Macaca fascicularis: one gene and its partner. The protein of the gene in region 1 binds, or shares a complex with, the protein of each later gene. Links are inferred from orthologs where the notes say so. Each region holds a gene or a part of one and is shown on either strand. Other genes may lie near its edges. The genes, in order: LZTS1 and ASB7.

Region 1 (4,389 bases):
CCGAAGGCAGTGAGGTTCCCCTACAGGGTTTTGAGCAGGGAGCAGGGGTGTGACAGAAACCAGATGGCTTGTTTTCCTTTGAGCTGTCTCCCCACCCCCCACCATTCTATTTAATTATTTTATTTTATTTTATTTTATTTTGAGACAAGGTCTCACTCTGTCACCCAGGCTGGAGTTCAGTGGCGCTTTGGCTCACTGCAACCTCTGCCTTCCAGGCTCAAGCAATTCCCAAGCCTCAGCCTCCCAAGTAGCTGGGATTACAGGCTCCCGCCACCACACCCAGCTAATTTTTGTATTATTATTATTTTCTTTTTTAGTAGAGACGGAGTTTCACCATGTTGGCCAGGCTGGTCTCGAACTCCTGACTGAAGTGATCCACCCGCCTGGGCCTCCCAAAGTGCTGGGATTACAGGCATGAGCCACCTCATCCAGCCCCCATGCTATTTATAATCAGAGATTGGTCATGTCAATCCTAATCCATTACATCTAATCCCTTTCCCACCTCCCCCCACACACGCTTTTTTCAAGGTGAGGCTGACACTCCTTGGGCAGAGCTGCCACCTTCCCATCAAGCCTGGTTTTAGCGGATTAGCCTCAGTGCACCCTCAAGTCCCCAAGCCTCAGGCAGCACCTGGCACTTCGGTTAACTGACCCTTTGTCCTACAAAACCCTGTAAGTTTGTATCCTCTCCTGGCTCAATTGCTACAAGTTAAAAGCGAGGGTGGCAGAGAAAATGATAGTGTTAGAAGGGCACTGGGTGAGATTAACAGCTATAAACTTGAAACAGGCCTCTGCTTTCACCTGAAACTCAGCTCTCTCAGAGTTGGAAAAGTTTGCCTTTGCAATGTTTTGGGAGTGGGAGTCTCGATGCTCTGGACTCGAGTCTGTAATCCCGGTGTGGTGTGCAATGCCCCTCACTTGGGTGCTAGTCCAGTCCTTGAACAAAACACACGCCCTTTAGTGCGAGTCGGGAGTGGGAGAGACGGTATTAGGAAAAAGAAACTGGCGAGTAAGAGGAAGGGGTAATGAAGAATGGGGAACATACAGAGAACGAGAGACGGAATGGATTAAAAAAAAAAAACTGGAGTAAGAATTTCAGGTAATGAAAGGGAAAAAAGGATGCGTAAAGAGCAAGACAGGAACAATCGGAGAAAGGGGGCCAGGCAAGAAAGGAAGACCGAGGGGGCAGGGTCGCCCGAAGGGGCTGATGGAAGTGAGAGCAGAGAGACCGGACCGGGGACCCCGCGCAGGCCGCGGGCGCCAAGGAGCAGCGAGGTCGCCGGCAGCCCCAGCTGTCAGCCCGGAACAAAGGCCGCCGAGCGGCACAAACCGGCTGCCGGCAGCTCGCTGCCAATCAGCGGTGCCGGCGCTGGCCCCGCCCCGGGCCGGCCCCGCCCCTCCCCGCCCCGCCCCGCCCAGGCTCCGGGACCCGCGCAGAGGCCGGCGCGCCTGGAGCTGGCGGGTTGGCAGCGGCCGGGCGGGGAGGCCGAAAGTTTCTCTGCCTGCCTCGGCCGGCGAGTAGGAGCCGGGAGCTGCATCCCGCGCGGTGGGACCGGCCCGGCCCGCTCAGCAGCTCTGGAAAAAGAGAGACGAGAACACACCGGGAAACACTGGGAAAAAAAAAAAAATCTCAAGTGCGCCCGAGGCGCAGGGGGCAGGTAAGATGCGGTGGCCGGGGGTCTCCCCGCCCCTGGAGGGTCTGCTGCCCTGGCTGAGGGAAAACTAGCTCCCCGTGCCGGGCTGGCCCGTCCGTGCGTCCGCGCGTCCGTCCGTCTTTGTCTGTCTGTGTCCGTGGCTGTCGAGGTGTCTTTGTCTCCGCGTGGAGCTGTCAGGGTCTCCCCTCTGCAGGGTGGGCGCCGCTGCTCCGGCCCGGCCCGGAGGAGATGACTGAAGGTGCGTCCGTCCTCCTGTCTTTGTCTCCGTGTCTCCTGCAGACGGGGCTCGTCTATTTCCAGCCCCGATGCTGATCCTGGCGGGGACGTCAGTGTTAGGTGACACTGGTGTCGGAGGTGAAGAAGTGGGACGTGGGGACGCGAGGCCGCAGGAGCAGGGGCCGCAGGAAGAAGGTCCGGCGGTCGCGCCGGGCCGCTGAACTTCGATGCCTGGAACTTTGCGGATAAGCTGTGTCCACACCGGTGGGGAGGACATCGGTGCGATGCAGCGAGATATTTCAAAGGTTTACCTCAAGGAATAAGTCATACGGGGGGAGACGGTTAGAGAGGACGGTGGTATATCGGAGTGTCTAAGTGGTTCCCTGGGGCTACAGGTTCCTGGGGTCGGTCCTGGGTGTGCAATTCAGGAATTTAGTCAAAGCACCACGCACACACAGAGCACCACACTAACTTCACTTCTTCCACCGCCACCCTAGGCAGCCAGACCTCACCCCTCCTCCCTGCTACAGGCTTTGCTCTGGCTGGAGAGGCTTCAGAGGTCGCAGCTCGGCAGCAACAGGCACCCCCGAGACACCAAGGGCCAGGTGATGTTTCTCTTTCCTGCTCCAAGTGGAAAGGTTTGAACTGTGGAGCAAATGAGTGTTGTGCTCGCCCACGAGTATGTCAGGCCTGGGAAAGTGCTCCAGACTTGTTAGCTTCGCAGTCCTCAATTTCCCAGGAATGAGAAGTGCTTAGGGATCTGGCCTCCTAAAGCGTTTCCTGTCTGGCTTATTCCCTCCACACCGTCCCGCTGCCGTCAGTCTCTCTGCTCTCTGGTCCTGGGCGCTGGGAAACTACTAAGGAGGCACTGAGTTCTGGACCGTGCTGGGCAGGCGCTGCTCCTAATAAGGATCCCACACTCTGCTGGAAGTGCAGCCTAATAGGAGTGCTGGGAGCCCAGGAGCCCAGCCACAAAGAGATGAGCTATCTGCTTGGCAGTTCCTGCACCAAGACCCTGAGAAGAGTCTGCGGGCAAGAGGGTGTTTGTAACCTGAGCTTTCTCTAAGTTCAAAAACAATTTTCAGCAGGCATCCAGAGGGAGTATGGAGGTGTCTGAAGAGTGTGCGCATATGGGTATTAGAGATAGCATTTACAGAGGGGAAAGGTGTTTATGTTTAAGAGTGGAATGGAACATAGTCTGTGGGTAGGAGTCTGCGGGCAGAGAGCATACAGGCTAATCAGGCGTGGCGTTACACCTTGTATTTATCCAGCGCTTTTCTTTGGAGGCGCTTTCTGCTCATCATAGACGTTATCTCATATGTTATCTCCTTTATCCTCACAACATAACTACCAGGTTGGCCCGGTGGGCTCTCTGTGCCTGCCAGTGAAGAAGCGGAGGCATCAGAAGGGAAAGGCATTCCCTGAGGTCCTACAGCTAATGGGAGGGAGCAACTGGGAGTCCTAGTAAGAGGTCTCAGCTGGGTGGATGTGAGTGTGCGGCGCTCAATCTGCTTAAGAAGAGAAGAAAACTAGTAGAAAAAGAAAGGGCATCTCTGTGGGTGTCTATATGCAAGCAAAAGGGAGGATGGGACATTTGATGTGCTGAAGATGGTTGTTATTTAACATTTATAGCAGCGACTGTGTGTTTCACGAAGTAAACCTGTCTCAGCAATTCAGCTTGTCTGCAGGAAGTGCCCCCAACTGTGTGTGCCTGGGTCGATGTGGGACAGGGGTGCTATCAGAGAAGGAGTGCTGCTGTGTGGGGTGTGCTGGGGAAAGCCAGTGCTTTGGGAGTGTGTGAGGGAAAGATGTGCCATTCAGTTTTGAGAAGCCGTGGGTCAGCGTGTATAGCAAAGCTATACATGGGCTCCAGACGTACATAAATGGCTTTCTAATCCTGAAAACTTATTTATATGCCTTGCGCTTATTCAACATTCATTTCATAAATATTCATTGGGTGCCTACCAAATGCAGGGCTCTGGGCTAGGCAGTGAGGCTAGGAAGATGAATAATGTAATGATGACAAACCTATATGGGTAAGCACCTTATAGACTAGTGTAATGGATAATAGCGTAACACTTAATACCAACCACTAAATACACTGTGTGCCCGGGACTTTTTATTCATTATCTCATTTAATTTTCACTGCAGCCCTGCAGGGTATGTATAATTATCAGATGAGGAGAGTTAGGTAATTTAGCCAGGCTACAAAACCGAGGGGCAGGGATTTGAGATCAGCTTAGTAAGGTTCTGGACCCTGGCTCTGTCCATGTTATTCTGTTACCTTTGAACATAGGAACACTGTTTCTTCTACGTAAAATATTCCTGCCTGGTCTCTCTACCTTCTCCACTTAACTGGCTCCCAATTTCTTGCTCAGTCACCCAGGCTGGAGTGAAGTGGTGCGATCTTGGCTCACTGCAACCTCCACCTGTCGGGTTCAAGCAATTCTCCTGCCTCAGCCTCCCAAGTAGCTGGGACTAGAGGCACCTGCCACCACACCTGGGTAATTTTTTGTAT
Region 2 (4,337 bases), on another chromosome or scaffold:
GTCACCAAAGCTAAACATGAACGAATTAAAGAAATATTGTATGCGTCACAGTATTAAATAATTGTAAATGACATCACTTTATGTGTAAAGAATGTAAGTACTGGCCACAGTATACTAAAGATGCATCGTTGTATATCTTCAATTAAAATCAATTATTCGCACTACATGATTATAAATCTATATTTGGTGACCAAATAAATTGGACTTTTTTAAAGCCACATGATTGGCAATAGAATTAATACAAAGCTAACTGCCAGGTTAAAAAATGTAAGCTACCTAACTAGCCATGTTGGTAAATAAATACCCAAATTAAATATTCTAAATGTCTGGTATAATCTAGACAAAACTCTCTCAATCATTCTGATATTAGAAACATGACAGATGTTGACAATTTATATATATTCCCTAATCTTAGAAAAACCATTAAAAGATGAGATGATCCAATACTATTTAAGCAATGAGAATGAACTGGCTGAGAGTCAGAGTAAAGCCCTCTCCTCTCTTACCTTATATACTGGAATAGCCACAGACTCCCTCCCTTACCATCTCAGGTGAAACTACTTCTTAGAAATGAAAGCATCCTAGAGTTAAATCTAAAGCTGAAAAAATATTTAACTGAGAGGCTTGAATACAAAACACAGTACTTCATTTTGATCTTTAAAACATGCTTCAAATATTTTAGCATTTTTTAAAAGTTCTGAAGTAATCATTAGGCCATCTCCCTGGCAACTTCCATACTTACATAATAAAAATTAGCCTTTAAAGATTTCTGCTTAGCTTTTACTGAAATGACATAGTCAAGTACTCCTGATTCCCCACATATACATACAAAAGCTGCCCTAAGTATTCATCAGGGAACAGTCATTGGTAGATACTGATTCTAAATCCTATTCCCTAGAATCTCTTCTTTTAGCATGCAGTTCCATGTCTCAAGAATATGTATACCGCAGATCCCCTTAAAAACGTCTTTAGCTATGTCTTGAGAATTAACAGAATCAGTAAAGATGCTAATTTCTTTTTGTGGAAGGCAGAAAGTCCAGTGGAACATAGGAAATCAAAAATATTAACTTCTGCTATTTTAAGTACTTCCTTGTAACAAAAATTCCCTAAACAATCTGGGATATTAAAATAACTCAGATTAACAAGTCACTTTATACTTTTGCTACTGGACGTTAGAAAAGTCATTCATTTGGCTAATTTTGGAATTAAACCTTGTATAATTTTCATGCTTATATCCCCTTTTTAGGAATTACACTAATGTCCTAAGTTTACTTTCAGTGCATATTCAGAAGCAACAACAAAATATGGCAGAAGAAATGTGATCACATGAATTGGATGCCTAAATTTCAATCTAGCAAACTCTATGTAAAGGTTTTAGAAAGAGAAATCTTTTTTATAGAGTGCTAAAATTAAGACCCAGATATGTAAACACACCAAAAGGTTCCTTTGTTTTTAAAATCCTGAGTCAAATGATTAATAAGATATTGTGTAAATTTTTAAAAGCTCTTCTAGAAAATCTGAGGTGTAACAAACATTGTTTGTATCTTTATAAGTTTCAAAGCCCATCCACATTTGTCACACACAAACACACAGAAAGCCCAAAGAGTTAATTACGCCTAAGTGCTTCAGGGTAATAATGTTGCCTTCATACCATTCACACTCTTAAGGTACACAGGTTGGCTTTCTAGTAGGAAATAAAATCAAATTATTTTCTGAAACTCATAAATCTCAGGCCAATAATTTACCTTTCTCTACCAAATCGATGTCAGTTCGATAACTCAAAAGATTTTTCTGATGCTGGTAGAAGAAAGGTGATAGGAAAGAATAAGGGGGAAAACAGTAAATTGTGGTTTAATTAAAAACGAAAGTGGTTCAGAATTAACAAGCAATTAACAAGGAATTGAGGAATTCCTATGAGAGTAAGGAAGGGAGGGTAGCTACAAAAAGGTCTCAAAGCCTCAGAGCAGAGTAAATGGCACAGTGTACCAAAAGATAATGAAAAACACAGAAACACACTGTACAGAGAGAAAGTGGGAAAATACGTTCCTGAGTAGAGAAGTTATAAAATGTTAAGGATCAGGCACGGGTAATGTTTTTATTTTTCCTGGGAAACTGGGGGTGGGGGGGCTAGAAAAGGTTGCATTCCCAGGCAACCACCCTGAAAATAAACCACTGCTTAATGAGGTAGGGGCCAGGAATAAACAGTGGGGGAGGGGAGGGCTGGCTCATTACCTTTATAGACGATGCTGGTCAGAGGCACTGTGCCTTCTGCTTCTCTGATAGGTGGGCAGACCCGTTCCTGCTTTCGCGTCCTCTTCAGCCAGCTCAAACCTAGAAAAACAGAAACCAGTGAGTGGTGTAGTGCCTCAGGGGTGAGGAGGAGGGGGCTCTGAAGAAGGGGGAACTCAGGAAAGGGGCTGGAGAGTGGCAAGAGCAGGCAAGAAAAAGCAGAGATTTTCCTCCCTCCTTCCTCAGCCAGCCCTCTTCCCTTCGGGAGAGGTAAAGGACTTTACCTGTCTCCTCAGCTGCTGCTTCTCTTCCTCCTTTCAGCCTCCTCTACACTCACCAACTTCTCCATAGAAGAAATACCCCAGGCAGGGCCGGACCCTGGCGTTCCTGAACCTCCTCGGTGCCTCACGGCCCCAGCCCGGCGAGCATCCGAACAGACGAGCAGGCAGGAGGTGGCGATCCCGGCCGCCGGGCAGCCTTGGGGCAGGGGTGCAGGGAGGCAGGGAGGAAGTCCCGGCTCGGGTGGGGGGGCAGTCCCGGTCCAGGGCTCGGAGCAGGGGGCTGCCGCGCTCCGGGCCGGAGGCTTCCAGCTACGGAAGGACCCAGGAGGTCTCGGGACGGCGAGGTCCCAGGTCATACGGGGCCCGAAGTGCCAGTCGTGGGGTCTCCGGACAGGGGGCTTTCGAGATGCACTTTGCACTGGGCCACCCCCGCCCCCTCCCTCCAGCACTTTGGGGTCACTGGGATGGGACCAAGCCTTCAGCAACCAATCAGCGGCCGCAGTGGAGCCTGAGCCTGGAGCCGTAAACCAGGTCCGGGATGGGTGGGGGTGGGGGGAGTGGGGGCGACTTGGTTGGTTGCTTGCTTCCTTCTCTCCTCCTTACCCCCAGCAGCCCCCACCCTCTGCCTGCCGTAAAGTTGCCTCTGCATTCGCGACAGTTAAGGGAGGCGTGCCGAACGAAGCAGAGATTCGTCTCCGATTGGTCTCACTCACTTCCCCCTACAGCTTCCCCGTGGTGGCTTCCGAGGCTCCGCCCCTGGCGGAGGGACTCAAAGCCGTTGCTAAGAGACACTATACGCCGAACGCGGGCTCTGCGCATGCGGCGGGAGGGGCCAGCTTGTACTTTCTGTGAACTACGGTGGCCCAGAGGGAGCATTTGTGTTCCCTCGAATGGCGGTGTGAAGAGTGTTCGCCTGAGCCAGATCCCAAGCAGGTAACCGGGAGCGGCCGCTGAGCTGGCAGCAGGGGAGGCACGAGTGCGGCCAAATGAGGGACTGGTTCAGGGCTTAAGGCTGGGAGGGCGGCAGGCTCCAGGAAGCAAACAAAGGGGTGCCCTGTCTCTCCGCCCCTGTTCAACGCTTCTCAGACGCAAGTACCCGGTCTTGGCGCGGCTGTTGGTCCCTGAGACCCCGGTAGCTTCCAGGCTGCCAATGCCTCCCCTAGAGTGGGAGAAGGGCCTGTCTTTGGGATGGCGATGCCGGGCCAAGGACTTTCCTGAAAGGATAGCAACGTTGGCGGGTTCCTGTGAATGAATGGAGAGGGGGCGTGGAGAAAATGCGAGATAAACTGATCAAGGCATGTTTATTAAGCACTTTATATTCATCTAGCAAGTGTTTACTGGCCACAGTTCTAGTCCTTGGGGAGACAACAGTGAACAAGATAGTGATTTCGGGGAGACATACACAAAATTATCAGATAGGGATGGGTTATATGAGGAAAATCAAGCAGAATGGTGGGATCGATTTTGACCAGGACGTGATGGGCTATATTAGATAGGTAGTGCTATGGTGTGAATATCTGTCCGCTCCATAACTCATGTTGAAATTTAATCCCCAATGTGGCAGTACTGAGAGGTAGAGTCTTTAAGATGTGGTTGGATCTTGAGGGTTCTGTCTTCATGAGTGGATTAATCTATTCATGGGTTAATGGGTTATCATGGAGGTAGAACTGGTGGCTTTTTAAGGAGAGACTTGACAACACGTGAGCCTGCTCAGCCCCCTGACCACGTGATACTTAGCAGCGCTGCCTCCTGACACCAGATGTGGTCCGTCAGTCTTAGACTTCCCAGCCTCCAAAACTGTAGACAATAAATTACTTTTCTTTATAA

Evidence for each region.
Region 2: the proteins of LZTS1 (region 1) and ASB7 are in contact, whole or in part, in a crystal structure (PDB 8Y1U), measured with the Homo sapiens proteins. The link is inferred for Macaca fascicularis from reciprocal best matches to the Homo sapiens genes LZTS1 and ASB7. Residues at the interface, in NP_001349813.1 of Homo sapiens: Arg346, Glu348, Leu349, Leu352, Met353, Glu355, Gln356, Leu358, Leu359, Glu360, Lys362, Leu363, Arg364, Ser365, Tyr366; in NP_937886.1 of Homo sapiens: Asn46, Trp48, Ala56, Ile79, Phe82, Tyr87, Met90, His91, Asp116, Trp118, Val123, His126, Tyr127, Ser147, Lys149, Thr151, Gln155, Leu156, Ile159, Arg160, Phe182, Arg185, Tyr186, Ile189, Lys190, Arg210, Leu220, Leu223.

Annotation. Positions count from the first base shown.
Region 1 is NC_088382.1:23,355,058-23,359,446, reverse strand, and holds the start of LZTS1 (leucine zipper putative tumor suppressor 1), read left to right. Parts: upstream 1-1,433; 5' UTR 1,434-1,658; intron 1,659-4,389. UniProt on the Homo sapiens protein: Involved in the regulation of cell growth. May stabilize the active CDC2-cyclin B1 complex and thereby contribute to the regulation of the cell cycle and the prevention of uncontrolled cell proliferation. May act as a tumor suppressor.
Region 2 is NC_088381.1:85,656,118-85,660,454, reverse strand, and holds the start of ASB7 (ankyrin repeat and SOCS box protein 7), read right to left. Parts: upstream 2,955-4,337; 5' UTR 2,514-2,954; intron 2,332-2,513; 5' UTR 2,233-2,331; intron 1-2,232. UniProt on the Homo sapiens protein: Probable substrate-recognition component of a SCF-like ECS (Elongin-Cullin-SOCS-box protein) E3 ubiquitin-protein ligase complex which mediates the ubiquitination and subsequent proteasomal degradation of target proteins.